Linked DNA regions of Drosophila melanogaster. The protein of the gene in region 3 interacts with the protein of the main gene of each other region in a pairwise test. Each region holds a gene or a part of one and is shown on either strand. Other genes may lie near its edges. The genes, in order: CG4367, KLHL18, Neto and CG7987.

The links.
Region 1: the proteins of Neto (region 3) and CG4367 interact in a two-hybrid assay, tested with the Drosophila melanogaster proteins (one large-scale study listed by BioGRID).
Region 2: the proteins of Neto (region 3) and KLHL18 interact in a two-hybrid assay, tested with the Drosophila melanogaster proteins (one large-scale study listed by BioGRID).
Region 4: the proteins of Neto (region 3) and CG7987 interact in a two-hybrid assay, tested with the Drosophila melanogaster proteins (one large-scale study listed by BioGRID).

Annotation. Positions count from the first base shown.
Region 1 is NT_033777.3:20,302,643-20,306,847, reverse strand, and holds CG4367 (uncharacterized protein), read left to right. Parts: upstream 1-1,870; 5' UTR 1,871-1,892; coding exon 1,893-2,066; intron 2,067-2,127; coding exon 2,128-2,646; 3' UTR 2,647-2,893; downstream 2,894-4,205. Other genes in the region: CG4362 (uncharacterized protein), read left to right, coding at 1-304, 372-535.
Region 2 is NT_033777.3:12,006,527-12,012,773, reverse strand, and holds KLHL18 (kelch like family member 18), read left to right. Parts: upstream 1-2,339; 5' UTR 2,340-2,400; coding exon 2,401-2,532; exon of another isoform or gene 2,533-2,609; coding exon of another isoform or gene 2,610-2,630; coding exon 2,631-3,484; intron 3,485-3,546; coding exon 3,547-3,805; intron 3,806-3,878; coding exon 3,879-4,361; 3' UTR 4,362-4,411; exon of another isoform or gene 4,412-4,673; intron 4,674-4,845; 3' UTR 4,846-5,298; downstream 5,299-6,247. Other genes in the region: GCC185 (GRIP and coiled-coil domain containing 185 kDa), read right to left, coding at 1-1,591, 1,652-1,751, 1,814-1,843.
Region 3 is NC_004354.4:13,443,337-13,449,353, reverse strand, and holds the start of Neto (neuropilin and tolloid-like), read right to left. Parts: upstream 3,452-6,017; 5' UTR 3,077-3,451; intron 1-3,076.
Region 4 is NT_033777.3:14,569,266-14,577,842, forward strand, and holds CG7987 (uncharacterized protein), read right to left. Parts: upstream 6,623-8,577; 5' UTR 6,506-6,622; intron 5,795-6,505; 5' UTR 5,609-5,794; coding exon 5,283-5,608; intron 5,218-5,282; coding exon 4,461-5,217; intron 4,370-4,460; coding exon 3,945-4,369; intron 3,873-3,944; coding exon 3,158-3,872; intron 3,097-3,157; coding exon 1,468-3,096; 3' UTR 1,207-1,467; downstream 1-1,206. Other genes in the region: Cys (Cystatin-like), read right to left, coding at 1-100, 159-343; CG44094 (uncharacterized protein), read right to left, coding at 7,074-7,346.

The DNA.
Region 1 (4,205 bases), on a different chromosome or scaffold from region 3:
AACGAGATCGGAGGAAGCATCGGTGGAGCTGGTGTGGTGACCAGGAGCTACGTGGCTGGCAATACCATCACCGTGGGCGTGAAGATCACCACCAATCACTTGGGTTACTTCGAGTTCCACCTGTGCAACCTGGACGCCTTCGGTGCCGAGTCGGAGGAGTGCTTCGATCAGAACCGCCTGCGATTCATCGATGGAAGCGATAGAAAGGATATCGGCGATCAGATGGGCGAATTCGATGTGACAGTCGTCCTGCCGGAGGGTCTTACCTGCTCTCACTGCGTCCTCCGCTGGACCTATGTGGGTGGTAAGTGGTGGCCAGAACGTAAATGGAACTTAAAGTGAAAATTAATTGAACATCTTGTGCATTTCAGCCAACAACTGGGGCATCTGCGATAATTCCGGAAACGGAGCCTTGGGCTGTGGCCCACAGGAAACATTCAAGAACTGCGCCGATGTGAGCATCTACTGGGGTCGCAACCTGGTCAAGGAATTGGTCGGTGGCGGAGATCCAGTGGCTCCGGTTGAGGTCGCCTGAAAATCCAGACTAAAATTCAACGAACTGCCATTTATGTCTGAAAATGCAAAATGCCAAATAGTCAGCTAAAGTTATTTAAATAAATGAGTGAACATTTACACATTAGTTAATTGGGTCCTTGGAGCTGCTTCCTATTTATAGAAATTTAGTTTTATTTACTGTTTAATTTTGAGATCTTATCCAATTTAGATACATTATTTAAACAGATGTTAGAGATAGACACATCATAACCAATATTTTTTAAGTCCAAAACTATGCAACAAATTGTATAAATCAGAATTTGTTAATGTTCTACGGCCTTCAGGTATACAGTATTTCTGCTAGGTTTTGACCTAAAAAGCAAGCAAAAAAAAATAATAGAAATTTGTTTATATATAATAACAATAATAGTGTGTAAATTGAAGGCGAAGTGGCTTTAAAGAACAGAATTACGTTACTTATAGTTCGATTCTTTTCATTGCAAATTTCAATATTTTGTTCGCTTTCACCTTGATTATTAATGCTTAATTGATGATTCTGAGAACACGTTGTATCGATAAAACAAAAGCATATAACCGCAAAAGTTGACCAAATAGATTGTGTTTATAGGGCAATTTAAATTTATGAAATCTGAAGATAGATATGCATCTTTTTTTGCAGTATGTGCTAAAATATATGTCTTATTTTGAGCCAAAGGGCCATGAAAAAGGAAAATAGTGGCTTCAAAGTACTCGCATGTTTTATCTGGAGGCATCATGGAATAATCGAAACTAAATAATTGCTGATTTATTAATATACGAGCAGCTTAATCCCTGAACTTAAACGTGGCCAATTTTTTTTAGCTGCGCGCAAGTGCTCTAAATTTGTTGTTTAAAAAAACATTTGCGTTTTTGGCTATTGTATGGACCGTACTACAATATATGATTGGCAGAAAAGTGCTGAAGTCAAAACCAACTAAAATAGTAAGTAATTGCACTTAAGAATCGTTGACCTTGGCTAACAAATTTTGCGAAATCGTGAGAATTTTTCCAAGCCTTTGAACTCCTATCAAAATGGCATTGGTGGGCTAAATAATAATAGCATAATAAAGCAGTCTTCCAAGTTATTATGATTAGGTTACCAAAAAATACGGGTATTGCTTAGATGTGTCATATGTGTTTTCACACTTTCCAGGTCAGATACAAGAAATTCTCCCAAATTCTAACTACCAATAACCATAAACGAAATTAAGATTGTGAGCCGATAAGATGCATTCACGGTTATTGGACGAAAAATCAAAAACAAACATAAACTGCCCGGCAACTGATAAGGTTTGGCAATATGGAACTATATAAGGCCACGACCAGTTCGTTTTGGCCACAAAGAAAGTGAAATCAATATGAATACGTATAAATTTATCCTGTTTCTTAGCATGGGTTTTTTAAACCGGATGGGTGAACTGGAGGGCCACGGTATGATGTTAAGTCCAACCGGAAGATCCTCGCGTTGGCGCTACGATAACTCGGCGCCAACAAACTACGATGACAATGCATTATATTGCGGTGGATTTTGGGTAGGAGTGCCTTAAAAAAATTCTATATTCATTTGATTCAATGATGTTCTTAACCCTTTAGAAACAAACCGAAAATGATGGCAAATGTGGACTGTGCGGAGACGACTGGAGCTTGGAGCAGCCGCGACCCAATGAGTTGGGTGGAAAATATGGCAGTGGAGTGATTGTAAAGAGCTTTGCCGGAGTAGATGAAGCGGAAATTAATGTTAAGATCACAGCCAATCATCTGGGCTACTTCCGCTTCCACATCTGCGATTTGGACGAAAATGGCAGCGAGTCGGAGGATTGCTTTAACCAATATCCTTTGAATTTCACCGACGGTAGCCAGAAGTACTACATTAACACCACCACTGGCGATATCCCAGTAACCGTGAAACTGCCCAGTGATCTCAACTGCATTCATTGCGTTTTGCGCTGGACTTACACGGCGGGAAATAATTGGGGTGTTTGTGAGGATGGGACGGGCGCCATGGGTTGTGGGGCGCAGGAAACCTTTATTAACTGCGCTGATATCAGTGTACTATCCTCAGCGAGAAGTATTATCCAGGAGGTGCCCGTGGAGGTGGCGGAATCGAAGTGAGGTGGTTATCATCAGCGGTGGCCAATCGAACAATACTGCTAGTCTCAATAAATTATGTAACTTATTTATTTCTAATTGTTCCAAATTGTTCATCAACAATACGATTTTGTTTTAAGAAAAGGTTATTTTATTACTTCAATTCTTCATTTATGTATTGATTTAACAATACTTGATAAAAAATGCACCTCAAAAAGTTCCATTTAACAATAAGACAATAATAGTTAAGTATTTACGAACCACCATAAATAAATGCCATTTTGAAAATTATGAATGTTTATTTCTGTTTTATTCAATAAATTAATCGTCGTATATATTATTTATACATATATATGAGTGTGTGTTTTGAGTGTGTGTGTGGATTGTTGGTGATGACCGTTCGTCTTTGAGGTGCAGGGCATCGCACTCCCTCCTCCTAAGATGGATCCTACTTATTAAATTCTTGATTCTGAAAGCCCTGTCTTAGACGTGTTCTTAACGATCGGATGAGATTTGCACGGTTGAGTGCTTAAATATTTGTTGTTTTTAAGCTATCCTGTTTATGTTCGTATTTGTATCTTGTATGTTATTTTAATATTCGTAATTTGTCTTAAGTTATTCGTGGCTTACAAAATATGTTTCACATTAACTGGCTTATTAGTTAACTTCACAAATAAGTTGTATGTATATATATATGCATTCTTTTCTTTTATATTTTACAAAGCCTTCAAAAGTCAATTGCAAACGATAAGTCGGTAAATTCACTACAAAACTCAAAAGTCGCGTTTTAAGAATATCTATTGGTTTACGTTTTCCTTTTAACAATTAACTAAACAAACCGCAAACAACAGTGTGTAATCTCGATTGCCACTAATGATGCCATCAATCTGATGTATTTAGATATATATTGAGCTCTATGTTTTGAGGAGAGTACAGATACGGCTTGAAATGCCCTCCTCGATTAAAAACTATAAAAAACACACTCTCCATTATCGTCAAAATGTGCGAATCGCTCACAACTGAATTACAAGTGTTTCAGCCCTTTTTGGGCTTTGTTTCTAAATCACCATCGTTTAAAAGCATTTTAAAATACAGTGGTTGCACTTCGAGAAAAATAGATGTATATTTATATATATTAATGTGGGGGAGGAGGTCCTTCGCTTCTCTACCAAATATTTTGTTATAAAAGCACCTTATAAATTTTACACGTACTCGCAAAGTTTACCCACTTGCCTCGTTTGTATAAATAGCTAAATAGTTCATCTTTCATTTTTACTTTGTTCAAAAATTGTTTTTAACATTATACAACACTATCTGTATTTTTGTTTTCTTTGTAATACCTGAATTTTAGAATTTTGTATCCGAAACGCCTTTTTTGTTGTTTTTTTTTTATTTTGCTGACTGAGTTTGTTCCATTTTTGTTCTCTTTCTTGTAATTGCCAAAAGGTTTTTCAGTATTTCCTGTCATTAATTTCCTTAGTCCGAAATGCTGGTTGCCAAAAATGTTCGTTGTTGTATCAGTTATACATCTTTCATACGTTTTCGAACTTGATAGGTCGAAAAGCTTGTGTTTTTCTCTAACT
Region 2 (6,247 bases), on a different chromosome or scaffold from region 3:
GCTCGAGCTGCATTTAAATCCTGTTGCAGTTGGGCCTGTGCCAACTTGATTGCCTCCAACTCCTCCTTTAGGGCACCGCTCTGTTCCATTTCATTCAGCTGCTGCGTCTGCTCCTGCAGTTTCTTTTTCAGCTTGGCAGCTATGGCTCTGAGCTTATGGTACTTCTCCTCGTAGCCTTCGTCCAGTTCACGCAGGCGGCTTAGTTCTTCGGCTCGTGATATTGTGGATGTCGACAGAACATCACTCTGGGCATCAGCATTCGCCTGCTCCAATTCCTCAACACGGCTCTGGAGTTGTTTGATCTTCTGTAACTTCTCCTGCGCCGCCTGCTGACTATTAGATAGTTGAGCCTCCAAGTCTCGTTGTCGCTTGACCTCCGCTTCGTGCTGTTCTTGAAGGCGTGAAATGGCATCACCGCGTCCTTTGAGCGCCTCGTTCAGTTCCCGCATCTCCGTTAGCAACTCTCCATGCTCTTGCTCCTTGAGGTGGTATCGCGTAAGCAAATCCTCGTTGTGTTGGCGCAGTTCTATGCAGATGGCTTCCAACTCCTGCAACTTCCTCTGCTGATTATCACGCTCCTTTGCAATGACTTTGACCAGATTTTGCATTTGATCAAGCTTGGTCTGGAATAAGCTTACATTAAGGTTCCTGGCGTGATTTTTGGTGTTTTCCTGCTCCTTCGTTACACTTATCAATTGTTCCTTGTCAATTCTATGCTGCTGCTTTATAATGACTGCAAGCTCTTCGAGAGCGGTTATCTTCTTAAGTAGGTACTCCACATTCAAATTGCTCCTTTGGTTCTTTTGCTTCTGCTTCACTATTTTGGCTAGCCGATCCATTTCCTGAACTCTTTGCAGCAAGCGCTTGCGGTCAATTCCAGTGTCAATTGTTTGAGGATTATTGTCTGACTTTCCATTGTTCAGCTTCAGTTTTTCATTCTCGGCCTGCAGGGATGCCATCTTTGCGCACAACAGTTGCGAAGCTTTGATAATCTCCACCTGCCATTTGGAAACGGATGCGGCGTACTCGTGCTGCGTTTCCAGCAGCACGCACTTGCACTCCTTGAGGTTCTTCAACTTGCGGTGTACATCAATGAAGCGGTCCTTTAGAGAATTAAACTTCTTGCGTTGCTCAGAGTTAAGTTCCTTGATGTTTTGGTACTTTTGCTGCAGCACACTCGACTCTTCTTCCATCGTGGCGACTTGCTGGCGAAGACTAGCGTTTTCCGCCTCCGCTTCCTTAATTTTGGCAATGTCCACTTCCAAAAGTTCCAGATTCTTGCGCTGCTCGTTACCCAGAGCATTGACCTGTTGCATAGCCTTTTCCATGCGATCCACATTGGCAAGGAGGGCATCGTTTTCATCACTCAGTCGCCCAAGTTGGCGCTTTAGGCTCTCGTTCTCGATCTCGAATTGCGTCAGTCGATCGGCATCCTCTTTGGTCTTTCGTTTCAGATTATTCACTTCCTCGGTGAGGATGAGGTTCTTATCGGTGAAGTCCTGGACCATTTCCTGCATGGCTGGCAGGCTGCTCTGCTTCTCCGCCGCCCGTTTAAGGGCATCCTTGAGTCGGTGATTTTCCTCGGTGAGTTCTGAAAGAGAGTGGCTTGCATTATTCTGGAAGATTCCCTGAAACTCTCCATCAAACTTACCATCTTTTGCCTGTTTCGCCTTTTTAGCGATGTTGAGCAGGCCTTTGTATTTGCTGATGATTTCATCTTTGCTCAGCGCCTCGATCGGATTCGGGTTCTTCTGCAAATGCAAATAACAAGATGAGACGTCATCATCAATTCTAGCGACACCTTTTTACTCACCTGGGTTTCCCTCGGTGATGCGGCTTCCATGTTACTTGCTATTTTCGTATCCTTGCATTTAATAGCGGTCCAAACATTTATGTCTTAACTCAGATCAGTGGTTTTCCAATTAGCAAGCGACCCAGATTACTCGAAAATGTTTTTGGACCCTTAATCAATCCGAGCGAAGAAAACACTCCAGCCACACTAACAGCTGATAGGGCTGTCATCACCGCCCAATTAGTGATGAGCGTCTTTTTTTAAGAAGGTGACGCAAAAACGGAAAAATTACTAATTAAAATTAAATGAAAGAATAATATTGTCTTAAAAATATGTGCTTTTTAAGGATTTAATTATCACTGTTGCATAAAAAGGGCTCAACTTTTTAATAAGTATTATGAAATTACATTTTGGTCCAAGAACGTTACCTTTAAAATTAAACAATATGATTCAATAAATTTGTTTCACTACTATTGGTGTTGTTCAACTATCGAAGGAACCTCAACTATCGATTAATGTGACCGCTCACCACTGACCACCACTAGCTCTGCAGTACAAGCAACATTTGGCATCTCTACTGTTTATCATTTTCTTGATCCGTTAAAGTGATGGATTTGAGTGATAATAGCCAAGTGGAGGATCAATACTTTGTTTACAAGCATGATAAGCTATTCGGCGAGAGTTTCCCCCTGTTCAAGGAAATCCGCAGGATGGGCAAGCTGTGCGATGTCACCCTAAAGGTTGTTTGCGTGCAGACTGGGGCATTCAATCACCCGCAGCTCAGAGATACGTTCATTATCTAGCGTCTAAATATAAAATGCCATCCCAATTATTGCAGGTTGAAGATCAGACCTTCTCAGCGCACCGCGTTGTGCTGGCGGCCACCATCCCGTATTTCTATGCGATGTTCACCAACAACATGGCAGAGAGTCGGATCAAGGAGATCACCATGAAGGAGAGCGCCATAGAGCCAAGTGCCCTGGAGAGTCTGATCAACTATGTTTACAGCGGCCAAGTGCGCATCGACAACCAGAATGTGCAGAACCTGATGGTGGGCGCCAGCTTCCTGCAATTGTCCAACGTGCGGGATGCCTGTGCCAGTTTCCTGATCTCCCGCTTTCATCCGCACAATGTCCTGGGAATCCGCACCTTCGCCGACTCCATGATCTGCCGGCAGCTAATCGACGCTGCCGACAAGTATATTGATCAAAACTTTGCCAAAGTCTCGCAGTCGGAGGAGTTTCTCGCCCTGGACTGCGAACAATTGCTGGAGCTGATGCGCCGGGACGAACTCAACGTACGCACCGAGGAGGTCATCTTCGAGGCCTGCATGAAGTGGGTCAAGTACGCAGAAGACAAGCGCTCTGAGCTCTTTCCTCAGGTCCTGGCTGCAGTGCGTTTGCCATTGCTCTCGCCTCAGTTCCTGGCGGACCGTGTGGCCCGCGAGGAACTCATTCGATCCTCGCACCAATGCCGTGATCTCCTAGACGAGGCCAAGGACTTTCACCTCATGCCCGAGCGCAGGGGTCTGCTGCAGAGCTTTCGCACGCGCCAGAGATCCGGTGAGTTCTTTACCGGACAAATATACGCCGTGGGAGGACTGGCCAGCACTGGGGAATCTGTGAGCACGGTCGAGATTTACGATCCGCTCACCAAAAAATGGAAAATGGGCGAACAAATGTCCATGATGAGGTGAGTGTGCGAGGAGCATTTATTTCTATTCTATCCCATACTAATTGCCAATTTTTCGACAGATCTCGCGTGGGTGTGGCCGTTCTGAATGGCAAGCTGTACGCCTTTGGTGGATTCAATGGCACCGAACGTCTGTCCACCGTTGAGGTCTACGACCCGCGCAAAAACAAGTGGTCCCAGGGCTGTGCCATGCTCTGCAAACGCAGCGCCGTGGGCGTGGCCGCATTGGATGATTGTATCTATGTGTGCGGCGGCTACGACGGCGTCACGTCGCTCAACACCGTTGAAGTTTACTATCCAAAGTCTAACACTTGGAAGACTGTAAGTAAACAAACATTCTATGTAACCCAGATGGGTAAGAAAACTGATCCAACTTTAATTTCACTACCCGAAGGTTGCTCAAATGATGAAATATCGTTCGGCTGGTGGAGTTACCCAATTGAACGGCTACGTCTACGCCCTTGGCGGTCATGATGGGTTGTCCATATTCGATTCGGTGGAGCGGTACGACCAGGCCGAAGATGTCTGGGTTAAGATGTCGCCCATGCTGAATCGTCGCTGTAGACTGGGCGTGGCCACGCTGAACGGAAAGATATACGTGTGCGGCGGCTACTGCGGCAACTCATTCCTTCGATCCGTAGAGTGCTACGACCCTCAGACGGACACCTGGAAGCTGGTGACACCAATGAATTGCAAACGCTCGCGGGTGGCTCTGGCCGCCAACATGGGCAAACTGTGGGCCATCGGCGGCTATGATGGCGAGTCAAATTTGTCTACAGTCGAGGTGTACGATCCGGAGACCGACAAATGGACCTTTATGCCGCCCATGTGCGCACACAGTGGTGGTGTCGGAGCCGGGGTCATACGGATCGAGTAACCCACTCGATTCGCCTGCCAAACCCGTTTCTCTAGCCACACTCGTCTTAGGTAATTTATGTGAATTGAATCGATATAGTTTAGCCTAGATATGATTGTTGAGGGTAACCAAGCTTTAGTGGCACCTCGTGCGGCCGCCTCGTATGCAACTCAGCTCAGCTCTTGCAGCTCTATCAAAATTGTTCATATACTACTCACAGCTCTATAGATTTTGTCATTCCAGTTATGTAATTGTTTAGTTACTACGCCTAGCCTTAAATACTCATTACAATATTAATCCTCCAAATAAAAACATGTATAACGCATGTTATGTAAAAATTTATTAATGGTTGGTTTATTTTTGTAAGACGGGTAAAATAGTCCTATGTATAACTAAAATCAATTTCACACCAATTTAAATCATATTTTATTTAATTTAATTTAAATTGAACTAGACTCTTAACATTAAAGTTATCTAAAGACGTATTCTTTGTATTCATTTTCAGTCATTACCCTCGCCATTTGTAATCTTGAAATGTTTTAGAAGGTTGTTAAAGTTCAGTAATTTCCTTACAGTAAAGGGACGACTGTCAACCTTTTGCACATCGTATAAATCAATTGTGTTTCGACGATCCATATGGGCGGCGGATACGTTTTATTTGAACAATAATAAATGGTTGACAAATAACAAAGCAATCTGAGCGACAAAAAGGCGAAAATGGCGAGGGCAGCGCAAAAAGTTGATGGTCAATAAGCAGGCCTTTATGGAAGGCAGTGCACTTGTTTATTGTCCCTAAAATACTTTCAGTTTTAATTAAAAATGATTAAATATTATTACCCAAGTCCCAATGTCTATCTACAATTTTCTACTTATTTTGTAACGAATAAATGTACCTTCCCTCGTTGCATCTCAGTTGAACATGCGGAGTATCTCTTCCCTTGATATTTGTACACCTCCCACGCGCGGAATGCAATTTTAAATTCGATTTGCACCACCTGCTCAAAGTGCAGCGGCAGCAAAACTAATTCGGAGCAACAGGTGGCAATGGCGCATCCAAAAATAGAGGCTAACGAAACCAAACCAAAACAAAATCAATTTGCCGTCTATCACTGACCCATAAAATGCCATACGCACAGCAAAGGGTCATAATCCAATCAATTGCACACTTAACGTACATATTTCGCAGTTATCAGATGGTTCCAGCGATGGAGGACCTTATCGCCGATCCGGATACGATCCGGTCCTGTTCCCGATTGCCAATGGCTACATGTATATTTATGTGGCTCTGCAGCGGCACGGCTATTTGCACAAGCGAAAAGGCTTTGTGGCGGCGGTCTTATTTGATTTTGATAATCAAATCACAAATTGCTTGTCTATCGATGGGCAATTTTATTTTAATTAAATGCTAATTATGTTTACCAAATGGTTGGAGTAAATATTTGTTGCATCACCGGGGACAATTGTTTATCACCACCAAACTGGAGCTCGTTTAGTTGGAAATCCGTCTAATTGTTTGGAGGGTGAGGAATTGGCTTTTTTTTTGCCCCGAAATCTGTTGCAATTTAAATGCAAATTTTTCAGCGGGCTCTCTATACACTGTAACATTTACGACTCAATTGCCCGAAAAGGCGGAAGGCAGTCCTGCAAGAAAGGATGCGAAGATAAGATGCCTGCAGGAAGCGGCGATGCTTCCACGTTTAATTTTAGACCGAAAAACTGGCGTTGTAGTGGCTGCAAGTTGCAACGAGCTGGCCCCCGGATGTGTGTGGCATCCACTTGGCCTTTCCGAGTGGCGTGTGGAGGGATTCGCCTGCTGCGGGTGATGCGGGTGATGCGGGTGATCCGGGTGTTGTCTTATCTCAAATGCCGCGACCTCGCCTCAAGTGCATTGTTGATGGTCGCGACCC
Region 3 (6,017 bases):
AATCAAATAAATTACTGCCAACGAGTAGAAGCCAAAAAGTGAAAGCAGTACTTTATCTGGCCGTCTCTTTCCTTGTGGAAATGGCCATGTTGGTTTTCCATTTTCATGGCATTTTGCATTTCGCTACTGCCTGGGTCTGGATTTTCATTCTTTTCTTTTCTTTTATTTTTTTTTTTATTTTTATTATATTTGGTCAGTTTTCTTTTTCTCCCTTTTTCTGCTGTAATGAAAGCGATTACAAGCCGACAGCAAAGCAGACGATAATCAGGGGGAGAGGCGGCGGGTTGGTTTGTGGAAAAGCCATTTCCTTTGCTTTTCCACTTCCTCCGCCCCTTTTGTAAAGTTGTCGGGCAAATTTATGACATTTATTGAAATCGTTTTTCTTTTGGCTTTTCCAGCAGCCCGAAAAAAAATGGCCCATTCCCATTCCCATTCGCATGCCCATTTCCAGGCTTTTCTGCTCTTTTTCCGTTCTGATTAGTTGTATGCCATTGCGTTTTCCAACCACCCAAGTCCAGCTGCAATTAGTTTCACATTCCACGGGAAATTGCTGCGAAAATCGCCGCACAATGCAAAAAGGCTTTAAGATCAGACTTTTTTGCGGCCAAAAATAATACGGGGAAAGAAATGAAAACACTGTGGACAGACACAAATAATAAATAAGAAGAAATCCCAGCAAATGAGAGAGGACCTGTTGCTCGGGACACAAAGGAAATGGGTGGTCAAAGGAGGCGGAAAGCAGTTAAGCTAACCGAAATCGCCAAAGGAAGTTTGGGCTTAACTGTAAAAACTTTTGGCTTAATTTTATTGAAATAAATGGTTACAAAAATTGAACAAAATTTAATCTCAGCACAGCTGCAGAGAGATAAAACTAAATGGAGTCCAATGTGGAAAAACTAGAAGGGAAATTACAACATGGCTAAGAAAATTAAAAGGATCACAAAAACGAAATGGTTGAATTAAAATCAATGGAGAAAATCTGAACAACAATATAATCACACTCAGAAAATACGGAGTACAAATAAATATTGCTATTAAACATTGATTTGTAATTGTTGAATGCTGGATACATTCTTCTTGAACAAAATAAGAATACACAGAAGAAGAAAATAATATGATTTAAGCTTTCTTTTGGAGTAAGAACTCATCCTTTACTTTAGTCCTTAAAAGGCAGGAATAATCCTTTTCCCTATTTGACCAGCTGGTCAACATGCCATTAATTACCATCGAAGTTTCCCTTCAAAAATAAAAAAAACCCTCGTGAATAAAAGTTTACCACAAAAATTTTGTTTGCCTCGCCCAAATTTATGAGGGCAACATGCTGAAAAAATTTAAGAAAACCGAAATGGGAGCAGCAAAAATGAATGGAAAATGAGAAGAAAAACTAAGAAATCGACGAGGGCGCTGAAAGTGCGTGTATAAGATAGCCTTGAGCCACATATGTGGGAATGGGATATAGAAGAGCGACAGACGAGATGAACATAATGCAAAACTTTGTCAGCCACCGATAGAGAGAGATGGCTGCACAGCATGCGAAAGAGATGGGACGATTGGAAGTCTAGTGAATTCATTGAGACGGCAACAAAACAGAGAAAACACTGGGAAATTAAGTTAATGGACAATTAACAACCAACACAATACCCCGTAAACAATTAATTTATTCAATCTACTAATGCAATAAATAAAGATTGCATTCAGTTTTGCAAGCCCAAATGATTATTATTGTTTTGCGGAGTATATTTTTATTTAACCTAATAGCATAGTTCATCAATCCCTAATCCATACACTGCGTATTCGCGAGGGTATTTAAAGAAAAGCCGATGGAAAACCTTCGTCAAAGTTGGCGCTAACGGAATTGTTGTAGTTGTAGCTTGGAAAATCTTCTTCAATAACAGCAGCAACAACACAAAATACCCATTACGCATATGTAATAATTTTTATTTTCATTTTTTTCCGAATTTTCTTCTGTTTTTTCTTTCTCTTCGTGTGATCACAGCTGTGCCGTGGACAAGGAAAAGCGGGAAAACGAAAGGGAAAATTGGTGAGAGAAGTGGGAAAGCCTGATGGCAGCCGTTTAATTTTTGCTCTTGTTTTTGTTGCTGTCTTTTATTAATGAATTTCTCTCATTTTTCACCAATTCTCTATAGCCTCTGCGTTCGTGTCTTTGGTTTTTATACAATTTTCCCCTCTTCGCTTACTCGTTCTGCTCTTGTTTTTTTACTATTTGGGCTATGTCTAAAAATATGTCCGCCAATTCGCTAAGTGGCCCCAAACTTATCTATACGGGATACATAGAAAATACGGTCGAAGTTTCCAAACGAATGCGACAAAATAGTTTAAATTAAACATTCATTCGAAATCTTTCAACATATATTGTAGCTTATATGAGATAAATAATAAAAACAACAAAAAATCGAACACTTTTCAAAATGTTTAGAAATGTTTAATCGCAAGTATATTCGATCTAAAACTGCTGAACAAATTAACAATTAATAATATGTATAAATATATCCCAAGACGCATTAAAATAAAATCAAAGACTTAAAGCGCACTAATAAAAAAGAAAAACTCATTTAAGTGGGCACTTACTAGGAAATTACTAGAGATTATTTTAATATTGCTTTAGAATCCGCATAATGGACGCCTTCTGTGCAAAAGGAATTTTTATGACACATCCACTTTTTGCCTTTTCATTTCCATTTTGTTGGCTAAAACCGAACAACTTTTACAACTACAGGCTAAAAGAGACTAATGTGCCCTCTGGATCATTGAAGCTTGATTTATGCAAATTTCATTCAGCTACCACAGCCATAATGCCTTGATTTGATTAATATATTCGCAAACATATTTATTGCCTATTATGCGGAATGCAGCAGTATACGTATTTATTTTATAATTGTTATCCTTTGCAACTTAATATTGTCACTAGCCCACTAATTAATTGGTAAATATCGGCAAATAGATTTGTTATTTTAAGAAAACACGGAAATATAATTTGTTTACATTGCAAAGCTGCCATCTAATATATATATGTATATGTGCATATGTTTAATTTATATATATATGTATATATTACTATTTGCGTGTTGTCGCCTCCTTTGGCTGCGTTGCGAAATGTTGTTTTTATTTGTTTTTGTTGCCGCTGCGCTCCGCGAAAATATCTCAATTTTTGGCGCGCATTTTTCAAGCCGGCAAGCTTTTCACACACACACACTTTCACACTGGCACTGTCACTGTCACACAAACAACCAAACAAAAAAATTTGTATTTCTTTTGAACAAAAGCAAAACCTTAAGATTTTAAAATCGTATCTCTGGTGCTTGTCTATTAGCAACCAATCGCGATGTTTTTTTTTTTTTGGTAGTGAAACGTTAATATCGAATGTGCTGTCACCGGAGAAAGCGAACCGCGCCGCGTGTCCGTACACGTGGCCAACTCGACGTAGACTGGGCGTATACGTAATGCCGGAATTTGTGGCTCTGCTGCATCGAGTCTGCCGCTCGACTGTTGCCGCTGCCACGGCGGATGCTGCCACTGCTGTTGTCGACCCGCCAGTGCTGCTTACTTAGCCGGCTTTCCCGACAACTCTGGCTAGTTTTTCCAGCCGCTCACTGTCTTATTCTTTTCTATCAACCAAAAAGAATTGTATTCGTATTTATTACTTTATTATGTTACTACCTAAAATTGATTGAGTTGTTTGCCCAATATCTATAGAAGTTTTTTTTTTAATACTAACAATCATTAACATAATAAAACAAACTAATTGGATTCCACTTGTTAAAAAAAAAAATACGTATTAATAAAAATATCTAATTTTAGAAGAATATCACACCATAAAATAAAATACTTGCGAGAATCTAGCAATTTTTGTCCATTTCCCACGCTTAAAAATTAATTTCCCGAAAAGAAATTTAAAAATTATAAGCTGATATGTATTATCTTATTTTTCTAGCCTCTCAAATTGACAGTACTATTTATGACGGATCTTAGCTTTTAATTATTTCTTTTAAACAAAAATTGTTTCCTATTAGATTTACGGATGTGAATATGAAAACTGACAGTGATCTATAATATCTTGCTTTTCTATAGAGATTAAGAAATAAAAACTTAATAAAAATAAATTATGGGAAACGTCTGCTCGATATCCAGATGCATTTCTTAACATCAACATATTTTCGCCGCCCACTTTCAAGCTCATTTTAGTATATACATTTTGATATGGTAAAGAGCCAAAAAATAGTGCGATTTATTTTAAAACTTAAACTCATTTTATCACAACATTTCACCAAAACGTTAAACAATGATGCAAGTATACGGGTTTCATGCGAACCTTAAGAAATTGGAAAATAATTATTTTCAGCTTTTTTTCCCCCCCAAAATATTTGGCATCTCTGAGGATGCTCCACAAACGCTCAATGTCGAGTGAGTGGGAATACGAGGCGATGGCCGAAAGCAGCCGAAGTGCGTTCGTTTGTGGCACAAAATTTCACTCGAAACGGAATTTCCCATTGTTCGAGTGCGAGTGAGATGGGAGTGAGCGGGAATTTTGAGTGAGTTGTAGGTTTTTTACTCATTTCCGCTGGCACTTCCGACGTCGTCCTGGGCCAAGGAAGTTGTAGCCACGCTGACAAGGACAACAAAGTCTGTCTTCATTTTTTGTTCGGCTTCTTCGCAAAATATTTTATTTTATTTGCTTTGGTTATATTTTGCTTTCTTTGTGTTTTTGTTGTTATTCTCTTCTTTTTTTTCGTTTTTTTTTTTTTGGTGAAATGTCAAATGACATGCCTGGATCACAGACTGTGGAAACTGTTGTGAATGTGGTTTTCTTAAAGCCTCAAGCGATTTGATATTTCCTTTGCGATTCGTTTGCATACATTGTACGAAATGTGTGCGAAATAAAAAAAAAAAACGACTTCTGTGGTCTCTTAAAAACTACATTCCCTTCATTACAACATATTTTTAATAACTTGAGATCCCGCAGATTACGTGAAGTTTCTCCAGACACTCTTAATTGCCTTTATATTAGCTTTCGAAGCGTTGCTATGACAGAACGCGTTAAACACCTCAAATAAAAGTAGAAGCCTATCATCTAATACTCTCTCAAATTAACCAATTTTAAAATCTATGTCATTGCTCGAGCTGCTTAAATTAAATTGATTATTAAGCTGATGGAAACCTTAAAGTATAACCAACAATCTGATGTTTATTATTGCAAAAACATATAAAATTTCCAATTGTAGGTTGTAGTTACGCTTACTTGATAACCTGATTAAGTTTTAAACGAAAGGCAAACCAAAAGAGAAGTTGTCATTATTTTCATTACCTCTCCCAAGCTTAGCACGTTTGCAAAATAATATAAAATAAACTGATGTTTCGAATGCAAACTATAACAAGCCGTCAGCTGTGACTTAAAATCGATGTAATCACATTAATACCCAATTAACCTTAACCAAAGAGTATCCTTTGAGTCTGCCAGCTTGAAATTCCAGCGTAAAAAAGTGTTGCCTGCGAAGCAAAGGGACAAAAAGCAGCGCCATGGCTGCGTTTTTGCAGCAGGATCTGGGACTAAGGGCAACGGAGAATGGAGAATGGAGAAAGCTGAAAGGAGAAGGACCTAGGACAACTGAGACCAAAAGCCGCATTGTGCGAGGCCACAGGATATGGGTAGGATGGGCAGGATGCGCTGGATGGAAGGGACGCGGGGTCGAGACGTTCCTTTGCTTCAATTTGCTGTTCTATTTTGCTATTTTGCCGCTTCCACAGGCCACAGGGCAGCAACAACAACAGCGAAAGGCGGTCAAAGGTTGCCAGAGTTACAACCAAATGAGTAAGATGCGAACAAGAACAGGCGAACAAGTGTAGCACCAACACCCACACACACACACACACACACACACACACACACACACACAGCGACACCCACAGAAGGAACAACAACAATACCGGCAGCAGCTGCCTGTTGCCTCAGTAAGGAATAATTTGGCCCAGTATTTGCCACCCACTCACCCGCCCCAACT
Region 4 (8,577 bases), on a different chromosome or scaffold from region 3:
GGTGCACTGCTTTTTGTCGGATCCATTGTCAAGTTCCACCTCGTAGGTGTTAAGACTTCCAGCTACGACCTGACCCGTCACAGAGGTCACATTGATTGCCCTAAGATCAGCAGATCAATTAGTATGAATTTTAAATTCGGAACTCAGTTCTAACTCACTTGTAGCTGGGACCATCTCCGGTGGCCAACTGTGCGAGAGTGGCATCCAGAAGTTCCAGAGCCTCCTTCCTGCTGTTTCCCTCCAACTGGCTGACACCGCCTACCACCTGCTCATCGGCTGCTTGGGTGGCAATCAAGCTGACGAGAACCAGACCCAAAATACACAAAGATTTTACTACGTTCATGTTGCTCGCTCGACGACTCTGAGAGAACTGATGAACACCCGGCGATGTGGCCCATTTTATACCTGCCATCTCAGTGGGAGATCAACAATGGAAAAATACAATAGGCTCTCTATGCCATCGATCCAAGACTTGACTGGCCCATCATCAGAACTATCAATAACCAGAACCTCACTCGGGGTTTACAATATTTAAGAAAATTGCTTAGAAAGGCAAAATAAGTGAAAAAATAGTTTTAAGATTCGAAATATTTTTTTTTAGAACATAAACTACGGTATCTACGTGTCCTGATATTTTCGCAGCTACTATCCAAATATTTATAGTCAATATTCAAATATTTATAGTCAATATTCAAAGGTGCGCCCCCTTTAAATAAGAATCTATTTCCATGATTAATAAATATGCATATGCAAATGAAATCGTTTACTTATATTCTAATACGGCTCATTGGCGGTAATTAATTGATTTATCAGATGGGCGAAAGCCGCTTTTCTGTGAGAATCGTTTTGATCTCTACTTCAGTTAGCAGTTGCGGCTTTAATTGAAAATCTGTGCAAATGAGCCGAAAACAAGTCACCGTACACCACATATGAAAACATATAATCATGGCTTCAAATTACACACAGACTTCCGGTATGCTCTTATCAGTGTTTCTATGAGTATGTACTACAAAGGTCAGTCGATATGTATTAAGACCCACATGTGCAAGTTTATAAACATTTAACCAATTATAAAAAGTATATTACATGCCACTATCGCAGTTTCCAAGAAAATTTAAGATTTCTAGGAGAGATTTCAAACATCAGAAAAGGTTACATGAGCCCATCTTATCAATCAGATTCAATCTATACGTGATAGCAAAATTTAAGGTAATGAAAAACCATTTAATGATGTATTTATTCCAGCATACCAATTCTTCAAAACAAAAGCTGAGGTACAAACTTAAAAGCCTTACGAACTATTCTCTCTATAATAGGTTTAGGTTCCATATTTTAAATAACGCATAAATCAACGATATTTTTCGATGCACGATACCTTGAGGTAATTTACTCCGATTTTGTTTGTATATAAGGATAAGATGTTTCAAAAATACAAGGCTCCGGGCGAGTGGTTTAGGTAGCTTCCATTTAAATGTGAATGTGCACATGTTCCAGCAGCTGGGTGCGATCATAAAAGATGGCCGAGCACATTTCGCACTCGAAACTGCGAGTTTTCCGCTCCGATTTACCAGCTGCCGCCGCTTTAGCAGCCGCATCCGCGGCGTCAGCTGCGGAAACGACCTCCGAGATGGAAAAGAATCCGCTGCCCACATCGCCGTTGTTGGCACTGGCAGGTACGTTTACATTGTAGGAATCCACCCCGTACGAGAGGTACGAGGATGAGCTGCTGCTGCTCACCTTGGTGGCAGTGTTCGATTTTTTGGCCACCACTCCCGGGGATGCCGACGTCTTGCTGGCTACGCCACCTGTTGTTCTCTTGCTGCCTGCCCGTGCACCATTGGCAGTGATTTGTCGCAGATGTCTGGAAGTTCTAGCAGATGAAGAGGACGAAGGAGTGCTGCCGCTATGAGCGATGACTCTTTGCTGACCCTCCAACATTTCCCGCAGATCCGGAGAAGTTGGTTCAATTTTTATAAGGTTTTGCTCCTCTTCGTGCAAATATTGTGGCGTGGTGGATGACTCGCTGGTAAAGCGAAGACGAGAATTTCTCTCGTGCTTCAGTGGAGAGCGGAGGATCTCCTCCAGATCATTAACAATGCTCGGATTAAACTTCTCATAAGTCTTCTCCCTGAGCAGAGCAGCATCTATCAGTAGGTTATCATCGTACATAAGTTGAACACGCTGTTGTTGTTCCTGCTCCTGTTTGATGTGCAAGGGACTGGAGCTGATCTGATTTGGCGGATGAGTAGCTGGAGAAATGATTTCATAGTCATCCACCATATTTGAGGCACTGCTGCGGGATTTGTCGAGGCTCAGATTGTGCGACTCCGTGCGACTTATATAGGTCTTCGAGCGCGTTTTCTTTGCCGAACTACTAGTGGAGTCTCCGCCAACTCCTTTTGTCACCTTGGCTTTCTCTGTGTGAATCATTCGAGGTCGCGAATTACTGGCAGGAGGTGCTTTGCTGGCTGTTTTAGTGGTTGCTGCCCTCTTGCGGCTCCGAGTGCTGGCAGTGGAGGTGGAGGCGGAGAATGTAGTGTCAGATGTGGTAGCTGAGCTATTCAAATTTTCGGCTCCTTCTACAGACTTCGCCTGAACTTTTCCCTGCTGCTTCGATCCACCTCTTGTGTTGGGTATGTTAGCAGACACAGCGGAGCTAGCAGGCTGCAAATGAGTGTCGTTGACCACTACCAGCGAATCGATCTGAAACAGAGCCACTTGACTGTCGTGCAGGAACTTTTCCTCCCAAAGGCGATCCGATTGCTGACTGCTGGTGGAATCATATCTTGGCTTAGCTTTGCCCTTATCTTGGGCAGGTTTTGCCGCTTTCCCATTGGTCACGGGTTTGGCATCAGCTTTTGTGGCTGCCGAGCCCCTCTTTCGCTTTTCTTTTTTGGGTGATTCGGCCATGTCGAAGATATCGTCCACGTTCTCCACATCAAAGTCGCAGAAATCGATGTCACTGGCACACTCCTCTGCATCGCCTTCTCCTATGGCCTCTTCCTCATCACCGTTGACATGCTTGTTCGCCGCCCGCATGTGAGCGATCTCGTGAGGCTGTAGCTTACGGCGACGCTTGTACTTGCGCGGTCCCGTCTAAAAAACAATTCAATTCTTTTAATTTATCAAGTCTCTCGAAACAAAGGATTTTACTTACAACGGGCTGTCGCTGCTTAGCTGTGTTTGAATCACTGTGTTGGATCAGGTGCTGAATAAGGTCATTGGACGATGCCAGGTCTTCGGAACAGACTGTGCAGTGATAGGTGTTCCGCGCTACATCCAGCCCAGAATGATGGGAGCGAATGTGTTCCCGCAGCACTACCCGTTGGTTAAAGGCGCGTGGGCAGACGGAGCAGGCATATGGCTTCTCGCCGGTGTGGATTCTCTCGTGCTTCCGCAGAGTACCACCATCCGCGAAAGCCTTCCAGCAGTAGCGGCAGCCATATGGCCGCTCACCGGTGTGGATCCGTACGTGAATCTGCTGGGAACTGCGCGAACCAAATGTCTTGCCGCATTCGAGGCACGGAAAAAGCTTGCCAGGCGTAGTAGTGCTGTGCGAGTGTCGATGGTTGGAGAGCGTACGACCGTCGGGGAATTCTTCCTGGCACACCTCGCATACAACCGACTTGTCCCGATGCGAAGCCATGTGCCGCTTTAGACGCGCTTTGTTGTGGAAGTTCTTTCCGCACTTGGAGCACGAATGGCACTTCTCGCGCGAATGGTCCCAGGCGTGCTTTATCAGAGCCTTGCGATCGCGGCACTCTTTGCCGCACAGAACGCAGGAATTGGCATTCAATTCACTGGGATGGCGAGTGTGCAGGTGACGCTTAATCGCCTGCTCCTCGTAAAAGCTAATGCCGCATAGGACGCACCTGAAGTTATTCAAAATGAGCCTTTAAAATGCGGTTTTCTGCTCGTGATCAAGTTCATTTGACCGAACTTACTTGAAGGGCGGGAACCTAGCATGGATTTCTGCATGGGCGAGCATCTCTAAAGCGCTAGGAAAGGACTTTCCGCAAGTGTTGCAACAGTGACCAGAAGAATCTTTGGCAAGCTCCACGTCTCCGCCAGCAGTGACATCGGAATTGCTACCAACAGCTGCCTGATCCGATGGCTTACAGTGCATCTTGGCATGACGTCGCAGTAGATCCTGGCGATGAAAAGAGATCCCACATTCGTTGCAATAGAATTCGCCATACAACTGCTCGTCTGCCTCCGATTCACTGCCGCTCTCCTCCGCTGAGGCAGGATCGTACTCCGAGTTGCTCTCCTCGAACTGATGAGTCTTCTGGTGCTCCTGCAAGCTGCTGTTGTCCCAGAACATCTCCTGACACTGGTTGCATTCGAACGGTGAGTCCACGCGGTGATTCTAACGAAGAAAAAAAGGAATAATTAGTGGATGATTTTGTCAATGAACTGGTTAAGCTGGTTTTAGGGAAAAATTTCGAGTTGAGTATTACCTTGGTGTGTGAAACTAGTGCCTTTTCCCGCGCAAAGGCCAATCCGCATTGCTGACACACAAAAGGTTTGCTGTGATCCAGCACCGGAAAGTTTGGCTGAGGAGGCGGTTCGACAGCAATAAACTCCGACGTGGTAACCACAGGCTGAGCCGGCTCAGGCTCCATGTATGGCCTAGAGTCCTCCACCGACTTGTCGGAAATCACAATGAACTGGCTGCTTTCTTCCTTGGGCTTCAACCGACTGATTCTGCCTCGCGACGGAGCTGCTGGTTGAGCTACCGTGTCTGGGTAACTGGCCACCAGCTGAATCCCGCCCTCTTCCACAATCTGATGCTGTTGATGGACATTCTGTTGCGCGTTTTCCTGCTCCTGTTGATGTTGGAAGAGTGGCCATTCCTGCTCGTAGTAGTGATCGTCCAGTTGCCGCTGCGTCTGATGCTCGAATTTAATGGCAGAAGACGAATCGGCTGCCGCCGCTGCTGCCTCGGCATCGGCGGCATCCTGGGCCTCTGCGTGGGCCTTGAAGTGACTAATGAGCTCTGCTCGTCGTGAGAATCGCGCTCCACACAGCTTGCAGAGGTGCGGTCGATCATTTTGGTGGGCCAGCATATGGTTATTCAAGGTGGCCTTCTTGCGAAAGCGCCGACTGCAAAAGTCGCAGGGATAGGGCCTCAGCGCAGTGTACTCATCCTGCTCCATGTCCAGCAGTTCCTGTGAGCTGCTAATCCCAGCTATCTGCTCGGCAGCAATCTCCACTCTGAAAATCGGGAAAGAAAATCAATAGGAAAAACTTCAAAAGATGCATAGTAGGGCAAAACTTACCGCTCGGCGCCTTGGTGCTGCACCCAGTCGTCTGTGATTACCTCCTCGGTGACCACCTGGGCGTCATCGTCGAAGGATTCCGCATAGGCCACCGTGGTGCCGTCGGCGGTGACCAGGACCGTTCTACCAGCTTCGTTGGCAGCCATTATCTCACTTAGCTGACCGTCGCGGGCCATGAATATAAGATTCTCGGCCGCCACATGGTCCAGATCCTCACCCGAGGCCCCTGCTCCACCATCCGACTCCAGGATGTCCACCTCGGAGGAGTCGCCCGCGGAAACGTGGTGCTGTATCCACTGGATGCCGCCATATCGCTGGTTGTTCATCACTCGCTAGCCCTGCAAAATATGCAGTTCTCTCACTTCGTTGCACACATAAACAAACGGGAGGCACAAAAATATCCGTTGCGAGCAACAATCGGTGGCACATGTGCTCAAAAAGGCCGAAGACGGTGGGAGAGGGAGAGCGACTACGGCGTTGCCAGATCTTTGGTCGATGACATTCAATAGTTACTTTAAAAAAAAAATAGCTAGATAATAAAATATAATGAATTGCAAAATACAAATTAACTGAACTACTGGTCAGAAGAATGCTTGTATTAATATTACACATAGTACATAGTTTTGACTTAGATTAAATTTTGTATATTGAATTGTTGGAAATAACTATTCTTTTGTATCTTTAAAAAAAGAAAATTATTCAAATTAAACGGATGTATCTGAGACTGCTAACAATTTTAATGACATGTTAAGTGTTAGCACATAAAATAAAATATTTTGAATCTAGCATTTTCGTTCTTGAAAATTTGCACACCACTGATTTCCAACCGCCGCACACACTAGTCATCTCGCTTCCACTCACGGCACTCGCCTATCCTGACAGCAATGTTCGTGTCTAAGCTTTTTTACATGCAAAATATTCCAACTTATAAACACCAATTTGGACCATAAATGAGGTTAAGTCGGCGTTTTTATTTATATTCCAGACCGCAAGCTTGGCGTAAACGTAAACAAAGAGCTGGCCAATTAATTTATATGAAAAAAAGCCACAGACGGTAACAGCCATTGCGGCCACGCTATTACATCACACATCACACGCCCAAAATTCTTGCACAGCCGATACTTTGGAATATTTTATTTTTAATTTTCAGCCGAGTTTGTCGGTGTCATTTTGAGGTTAAATAGGTCTACCGTCCACTAAGTACTGTTGCTGCGTTGTTTTACCTTAAATCCAGTGTTTATGCCGTTCGCATGCTTCGTCTTTAACGTTTTTAAATGCGGCGAAAAGTTTTCTCGCAAAATGTTCACGAACGACCGGAGAAAGAGGAATTGCCATTGCGTTGCCCGTTCTTGTTCTTCTTCCCACTGCTATTCTCGGCTCGGTGGGGGCTGCCACCTGCCGACGGCGATGCCACATCCAATAAAATAGTTCAATGTTAACGGCAAAAAGTGCTGTAAAGTAGCGGTTGTAAAATATAGCGTCTATTCATTGGATTTCAAATTTGCTATAGATTTTCTTAATACTAATTTGTTGATAAACACGTGTTGAAAAACAAAAGGCTGAACAAGAAATCAAGAATAAGTAATATATTGATGAATCCTTTAAGTTCATTAGAAAATCACTTCCTTTACAGTTTGAAAACGAGTTTTGTTCAGACGCTTTTGGAAACCACTTGAAATATTTTTAATACTGTTTTGTATTATAAGCCGCCCTTTAACACAAACAAGTTCCTGATGCGGAAGCAAATTTATTTATTTCTTTTACTTTCTTTAAAATGTAATTTCTTATATCTCAGAACCAACTTTTACTTCTGACTCGTGTGAGAAAACTGCTGAAGAAGTTGCGAATCCTGCCGATTCGGGACCTCTTGGTGGTGGCTACGATCAGTGGCGCTGCAGTTGTAGTTGGCGCCCAAAATCTCTGCAAGCACTCAATGTGAGTGGGGTAAACCCGACAGTCTATGCAGCTGGCATCTGTGGGGGCAAGATCACAGGTCACGGCCGAAATACCGTCTTGGAAATAGAATAAGACCAAAAACAGCAAAATAAACTTAATCGAGACCATTTTGGACTACAACAGATATGTGACTAAATCATATTCGTATAAATTCAAAAATTTGTGGTTGGAGTCAAGCCAATGCAAAGATTTGCTCAGGTGTTTTGCGGAGTGAACTAATATTTAAATTCGCGTAAATGCGTAGAGGTGGGCATTTTATTTTTAACCCTATAGGAAAAAAGTATTTAGCCTGGGTTAACTGGACATGATAGTAAAGTTAATTTACTTAAACAAGAGGGAAAGCTACCCTTAGATACCCATAACTCAGCTAATCGGCTAGATCCCGCCAGATGTCGCCCCAGATCCTGCACCTGCAAGATCCCGTTAGAGATTTGTTCATATATAAATTTCGATATTTCCATTCCCTCTCCAAAAGAGAAAGCACTCTCTCTTTTTCGACTTTCTCTCTTACCCCCGCAATTTAAAGAGCACACTATTTACCCACACATATGCAAACGAGCGCCAAAGCGCGCCAAACTTTTCCACCCCTCCCCCAGCCCAGTGTTGTTGTTGTTGTTGTTGTTTCCCGATTGCTCTGCTTTTATTTTTATTGCTCCGCTGGGCAGAGCAGAAACAGAAACGCAGGCAGCCAACGAGCAGCGGCTATTTAATTTTCGTTTTGGCTTTGGCGTGGATCGGATCGGATCGGTTGGCCATAGTCTCCCCGAATATACAAGCCAATATACGTGTGTATTTTATACTGTGCCGAGTGCAGCGGAAAAACTGAACCAAAAAAAAGTCGAGAAAAGTGCTCGTGACTGGAATTCCGTATTTGTTTACCATTGTGTGTTTGTGTTTCCATTGCTATTTGTGTTTCTGTTGCTCTGGAAAAGGGAAAACAATCGAGATTGGATCAACAAGATTAGCGCGCCACCTAGCGGTCGGATTGGGTGAGTTTTAATGGGATTTGTTTTTCTTAGTTTTTTTTTTTTTTTGTAATGAAATCCCATTGCATTGCATTGCAAAAATCAACTGAAACTGAAAACAAGTGAAAAGTAACCGCCGTCCTTTCGACAGGCGGCGACGACATAAAATGTCAAACTGTCGATCAACATCAAGGCGAAATATGCAAGATGCGTGTCTTAAATGCAAAGAGGGCTTTTCATAATGCTACATGCTAAATGCTGTTGCAAATGGTCGTCATTTATGCAATCTGCGGGATCCCCCACACTCCCTCGCCCCCTTTTTTAATCTCGCTGCTGATCTGCGGGCTACGCGTTTTGCATGCCTGCTCTTCTCC